Linked DNA regions of Rattus norvegicus. The protein of the gene in region 1 binds, or shares a complex with, the protein of each later gene. Links are inferred from orthologs where the notes say so. Each region holds a gene or a part of one and is shown on either strand. Other genes may lie near its edges.

Region 1 (4,398 bases):
CACTCAAATGTTCAAGACAAATGTTTTAATTGAATTCTTCACCAAAAAGATAGAGACATAAAAATTGTCCAAGAAAAAAAGCTACCAGTCGAATACTAAAATATATTGAAGAACTAAGAATGGACTGCATGCATAAACAATTTACATTAATATTTTTACTATTAATAAGCTTTACAAAAGATGTAATTTTATTTCTTCTGTGAAGTGTTTATAGCATCCAAATTCTCATGGACCTTGAAAAAAGGTAGACTTGATGCTATAAATAAGTATAAACCTAAAATAATGTCTTTCCCTTCCAAAGCCTGTCATTGTGACTTTATTTACATACACATATCACACCACACCCACACACAAAATAAACCAAATGACTCCCAGTTGTATATCATATATCAGAATACAATACAGCATTAAAAACCTCCCTAATTAACATAAATAAATCTTAAAAGAAGTGTGAAAATGCAAATTTCTAATACATGTAAAGTATGGTATCAATAGTGTAAAGTTTAAAAGCACACAAAAGACTACATATTATTTATGGATACATACATATGCAAGAAAGGTATAAAAGCATGTATACAGAATACACAGCAATTTCAGGATCAGGTTACCATAGGGAGAGAAGAGAATAGACACAATGGGACAGATACAAAGGATTTTACCTCTATCCATGTTAAACATTACAAAAGGTTGAAAATACGTTAATGTTGTTAAATCTGATGGTGTTATAATGGAGTCCATTATATTATCCTCTATACTATTTAATATTGATAGTATTTCATAATAAAAATGAAAACATTCACAGATAAGAAAGGATGATTTATGCTAACTAATTAGAAATACTAAAACAGATTTTCTTTTCCAAAGTGACAATATTAACCAGAAATGTTTCATGAATACCAATATGTATATTTTAAAGTACCCATTTATTATGTTAAAATATGCATATAATTAAAAGCAGAACTTAAACATTACTTAAAAAAAAATCCTTCTCCTTGGTCAAAGGATCCAACTTTACACCACAAACAGGCTCTCCTTTGTTTTAAAAGAATCTCTTTGAATTTTTTTCTTAATAGTAGAAACTGAACACTCTTAATCTTCTTTTAAGTCATTTCTTACAAATGGGACTCAGAACGAAAGGTTTAGTGTAGAGTATATGGAGAGACCTGGCTTACTTTAAAGACCAAAATACATCACATTGCAATACAAACAATGGCTCAATTAACAAACAACATTAAATCACCAATATAAAAAACTACTTTTCAGCTTGAGACTCTCAAACTGAAAGGAAAATACATACGGTACCTAATTTTAGTTACCAAACTTTTTTTCTTGTCTGGAAAGTATCCCCATCTTTGTCATATAAATACATCCTGGATCACAGATGAAGTCTTTCAAATTACAGATAAACAACTACTTGCCTGCTGCTTCTGATATGCAGTGTTTGGATTTATCTTTGACTCCAAGAGTAGAGATCCTGAAAGAGTTAAAAAAAAAAAAAGACTCAAATTATAAAACCTTCAACAGCACACAACTAATAAACGTTCCATGTCTCCTTGACTGAACATCTGAATACAAATGTATTTTGGTTTATTCAAGACTAACTTTAACAAAAGCTGTTTCCTGTCTAACAAAACAAATTACAAGGGCCTTGGAGAGACTTACCATACAAATTATACTTATCCTTTTCCTTTGACAATGAACAACCCCCCCACATAATGTAGAAAGAACTCTGGACTTGCTGTCTACTAAAAGGGACTCTGCACTAGTTTAAGATTTGCCAAAAATAAATCTAACATTGTTATTCTTATATTACCTGCATGTATTAGTTGCTCCAACTGAGCAGCTCTTGAGTACAGGTAGTAGTAGCCACTTTATTATGTCTGTCAGCTTTAATAATATTAAAATGGTTTCTATGAATTCTGCAATCAGCAAATACAACTTTACAGTCTGCTTTAGTATTCTAACTTGCTGAGATTGTGGAACCCGCTTTTTCACTCCCTACAATGGCAGCCTTGGAGAGATCAGAAAATAAAGATGTATGTGCCTGTGTGTTTCGTGGCAATAGTCTAACTTCAAGAAAAAGTCCGTTTTAGTTTTCCCCAGCACCTGTCGATTGGAACAACTGAAACCTGTTTTTGAGGCACTCAGAAAAGTTTCACTAAACCTTTTATAGTAGACACATTCAACCGGCAAGACTGTACCTAAAGCGGGTCGGGGATCCGTGTCAGATCTCATGGGCGAGATTCCTATCTGGTCTTCTACTATGTGGTCTTCTACTGACTCCTCACTCATCACATTCTAAATTTCAACAACCGAGCGGGGATTGGAGGGGAAAGGAGTCAAATCCTTAACAGGGAGAGAGGCGGGGAACCTCGAGTCCACGTCTGACGGAGAGTAAATCCAGGCCCAGTAGTTTGTTTTTATCGTAAGGAAGGGCAGGCTCAAGACCAATGTGCTGTCCCTAGTGGTGCTAGTCAGAATACTGGAGTCCCAGAGCTTAAACCTCAGGTTGTGTCGCAACCGATGCACTGGTCCCCATCCCACCGTTCCAATAACCTTACCGTCGGACTCTGCTCGAACCAGCAGCGACATCCCTTTGAGCTCCTCTACGTAAGTGGAGGAGACGTGCCCGGTGCCTCGGTCGTCCCATTGCCGGTCTTCGTTCAGGGTATAGACCTTCACTCGCCGCCGTGTATCCGACATAGTGGCTACTGGCCCACTGCTCCAGCCGCCACCTCCTCGCTCACCTCGCCGGTACCCCTCACTCTTGAGACCCGGTAGTGGCGGTAGCGGCGTCGGCGGTGGTGGCAGCGACTCCGGAGAGGCCTGAGTTTACCATGGCTCCAAAGGTTTAGCCGCGAGAAGGGGTGGCCAGAGCCACCGAGAACCCTCCGCTCGTGGTCTCCGCTACCCCTCCCTTTACCCCGGCGCACAATCACCTTCCCTTCCCTTTGCTCCCCAGAGCTCGCTCGCTCTCCCGCTGCCGCCGCCCGCCGCGGTTACTACTACAGATCCGCCATCTTGTAACCCGACTCTCTCTGCCTTTCTCTTCCTCTTCCAGCAGGTTCGCACGGGCTGTCCTAGCAGGGGCTACGGCGGCCGATTAGTCCAATGCATAGTACCTACGGCCAAACACGCTTCCGGAGAGTCAGACCTCAGCGATCTCGCGAGGAGTGCGGCGCCGAGGTGAGCCGGCCTAGGAGGGACTTCCTCCTCTTTCGGCCCCGCCTCCTGGCTCGGGAATCTCTGTTGGGCGGGGAAGTCTCGCGAGCTTTCCTCCCTGCTCCGCGAGAAATTGTCTGTAGAAGGTTGATGGAGCAGTGGTGTTTGTTGCTGAACTGTTTTCCGGATTTGTAGGGCGGATGTTGAATGGCGGGTTGTCAACTCTGGACTTGCTGTCAACTGACCAGAGCCAGGCTGGGAAGTCCGAATGCGTGGACAGGTCTAGGGCGAAGCCAAGTGTAGGGACTCATTCTGTCAGCCCGAAAAGGGCTGGGGGCGGGGGTTGAGGGTGTTTGAGTCTTATGTGAAGTCGAGCCCCTCACCCATTAAAATCCGTTATAGAATCTGCGAGACTTCATCCGGGAAAGTGTTCCATGGCCACGGTGAGCAGTGGGCGATCTTAATGTTCCACAAACGCGTTGACAGTTCTTATTTCCCGCCAAAGCGTTCTTCCGTTAGCCTCTTAGCACGGACCATTAAAAGGCTCGGAGAGAAACCGGCCGCAGCGACGAGGCAAGCGCAGGCGGGCAGCCTCACAGTCCTCGTGTGCCGCAAGAACGAAGGGTTCCTGGCGTTCAGTTAACGTCGCTCGCCCGAAGGCCGTGGCTCCCAGTGTAGTTCAGCTGCCTCTCCGTTCTCTTATTTGGTCCCTCAGCTCAACCACTTGAAAGATGAACATGGGGAAGGTACACACGTTGGTCCCGCGGTGTATTTTGGGAGTTGTAGTCATCTTTATGGTTGTCAAAGTGTGTTTATGTTTTGGCGAGATTAGTTAGGCGTGAACTCATCACCATACGTTTAAAGGGGTGTCTTATGCACCTAGTCGCTTGATTAAAAACGATTTCAAATTTTGATCTATCTTTGCTTTTTCAAAAATGTATAAAGGATCAAGAAAGTATAAAGGATCAAGAAAATTAGCCTGGTCTGCAGCCATTCATCTGTAAAGACTGCACATAGAAAAACAGACAGGAGCATCTCTTTGAGGACCAGGCCAGCCTATGGTATGTATCGGGATTCTGCCTATGATAAAAGGACTTGAATCACTATACATAAATCCCTGATATTCTGTGATTGATATGGACAAAATTACTTTGAGCTGGGGAAAATATAATTTGTTTTGGAAAGGTCATAGAAAGCTTTCCACTGTGTTTTAGTCCAATGTTAGAGGACAATCCA
Region 2 (2,472 bases), on another chromosome or scaffold:
CATGGGTCCATCATGGGGTACCTCTTGCTTTCGGTCAATTGTCCGGATCTGGTCCAAGGTCTGGATAGAAGGGGAAAGACCTCCATGCACACAGAAGATCTACAAGGGAAAGTATTGTCAGATAAAGGGAGGTGGAAGCCCAGAGACCCACCACTGACCCACCACTGCCCCACCCCTGAGGAGATCCACAGCCAACCTACCTTGCCATCAATGATGGCAGACAGGCTGAGGTAGTCAAAGATCTCAGTACAGTAGCGCCATACAGTCACTGAACCATATTTCCGTAAGCACTCATCATAGAACCCATAGACCTGGGTAATCTGGCGACTCTCATGATTGCCCCGGATCAAAGTGATTCGGTCAGGATATCGAACCTAGGGGGAGCATCAAGCCAAGGTTGGGTCTAGTCTGTTTCCCACTTAATCCCTCCCAAGTGTCCACTCATCTACCAGCCTCATTCAGCCCTCACCAGGATCTGTGTGGCCCAGACTCCTGCAGTCTCTTACATAAATCGAGACATCCCTGCCTCACAGGCTCTTGGGGACTTTTTCTAGAGATGCATTAAAAGACTAATGATTCCTCTCATCTGCCGGACTCAGACTCCATCCTTAGCACCCCATCCCCACCCCGCTGTGGCCCCTCACCAATGAATTCTCCCAGTTTACTCGGTTTCTGCTGCTTCCTGAACACACAGCCTGTCTACTTCCCAGAACTCACATCACCAGCCTCGTCCTCAAGGGCTCAGGAGACGGCCCCACTCATGACAGCAGTCTGACCAGCCCCGCTAAGCACACAGTCCACAGCCACAGCAAAGTTCCAAGGAGGTGACAGGAAAGGTGATGAGGGCAGCAAGTAGTGGCCAAGGCTCAGGTTCCAGGGGCCAAGGGTCCTCACCTTAAGAGCCAGCAGGAGGAGGAAGGTTTCAACACTGTAGAAACCACGGTCCACAAAGTCTCCCATGAAGAGGTAGTTGGTCTCAGGGACATCGCCACCTACCTGGGAGGAGGGATATGGCTCTGCTTGGCCCCAAACTATCTCCTCCCACTACAAGGCCAAAGAGCTGAGCCCCTTCAGTCACCCAAAGCCCAAGCAGCCTAAGGCCTCTCAATGATCATATCTTCTAGTCACCCCTAGTTTACAGCCCCAGTGTTCCCTAACTCACTCTGAACAGCTCCTTGAGGTCATAGAATTGTCCGTGGATGTCACCGCATACCTAGAAAAGACAAACGTGTTGTCAGAACAGACAAAGGCACAAACCCTTTGTTCCCAGAAAGCATCCTTCAAAACACCTGTTACTGTCCATGCCAGCCAAGGTTCTCTCACTCCATCTCAGGACCAAGTAAGGACCCTCCAGCCCCAGATGAACCCGTTCTGGTGTCATCCATCCATCACCCTCCCCTACTCCAGCGCAGAAGACATGTTCCCTGGGAGACTCACAGCTTCAGAAGCCTGGCTTCATCTCTGTTTGCCCACGTGCCCAGCAGAGTTATAGCACATGCTCATTGAGCCACAGACTAAATTCTTCTGCCGTGGACATGAGCATCCTACAGCATCTTTTCTTGTAGTCATGAGGCTAACCCATGGTCTCATACACAATGGGAAAGCATCCCACCACTAAGCTGCAAGTTCTGGCCACCATCTAATTCCTCCTTTGAGGCTCACCTGAAGACTGAGGAGTAGCAGAGGCCTGGGGGGGGGGGGGGGGGTTACTAGCCTCTCATCAACTTAGGACACAGAATACTCACTGTGACTGGCGAGTCCACCCTCTGCACGTTGCTCTCTTCTACCAAGATCTCTCTGGAGACAGGAGAAGACCAGGGTCACCACAGCCAGGCCAGCCCAGCCCAATTCCTGACCTTTTTTGGAGGGAGGGAGGACATGAGGTAGTCCTTGAACCTCCATGGGACAGAAGGAAGTATGCAGTGTCCCCATGATTTTGGTCAAAAAGCACTAACCTCTACCCCTCAATGCCTCAACGCCTCAACATCTGTTCATGGCTCCTTGCTGCCAACTGAACAGAGTCCAAGTTCTCAACCCCCTTCCCAAGTAAGTCCTTCCAAGCAGGCTCGGACATTTTCAGTAGAGACTCTCCCTGTGGCTCCTTCTCAAGAATACAGCACATATTCTTGAAAGGGAGGTCTCTGTCCCTCAGAACACTGAGCTCTGACCTCACTCCCTTCTCCCACACTATCCACAGTAAGGACGAGGCCTAAGGCATGATGGTCCCAGATGTACCTTCAAAGGGTTGTGCTGGTCCTTCCTTGTCAGCATTACATTTTATTTGTTTTGGAGACAGAGCCTCATTATGTATCCTTGTCTAGCCTGGATGTGTAACCCAGGCTAGTCTCAAGCTCAGGAAATTTGCCTGTCTGTCTGTCTCATGTGTACTGGGATTAAAGGATGCAGCACTGTAACCAGCATCTACAACATAAGGAATGGGCTCTGGTACAGCTTTTCTTTTTGCTACTTTGT

The links.
Region 2: Ppp4r3b (region 1) and Ppp4c share a complex: the UniProt entries of both Homo sapiens proteins name them as parts of the PP4 complex. The link is inferred for Rattus norvegicus from reciprocal best matches to the Homo sapiens genes PPP4R3B and PPP4C.

What each region holds. Positions count from the first base shown.
Region 1 is NC_086032.1:107,116,785-107,121,182, reverse strand, and holds the start of Ppp4r3b (serine/threonine-protein phosphatase 4 regulatory subunit 3B), read right to left. Parts: upstream 3,051-4,398; 5' UTR 2,704-3,050; coding exon 2,562-2,703; intron 1,475-2,561; coding exon 1,419-1,474; intron 1-1,418. UniProt on the Homo sapiens protein: Regulatory subunit of serine/threonine-protein phosphatase 4 (PP4). May regulate the activity of PPP4C at centrosomal microtubule organizing centers.
Region 2 is NC_086019.1:190,824,875-190,827,346, forward strand, and holds part of Ppp4c (serine/threonine-protein phosphatase 4 catalytic subunit), read right to left. Parts: intron 1,857-2,472; exon of another isoform or gene 1,798-1,856; coding exon 1,746-1,797; intron 1,214-1,745; coding exon 1,163-1,213; intron 997-1,162; coding exon 895-996; intron 375-894; coding exon 201-374; intron 100-200; coding exon 1-99. UniProt on the Homo sapiens protein: Protein phosphatase that is involved in many processes such as microtubule organization at centrosomes, maturation of spliceosomal snRNPs, apoptosis, DNA repair, tumor necrosis factor (TNF)-alpha signaling, activation of c-Jun N-terminal kinase MAPK8, regulation of histone acetylation, DNA damage checkpoint signaling, NF-kappa-B activation and cell migration.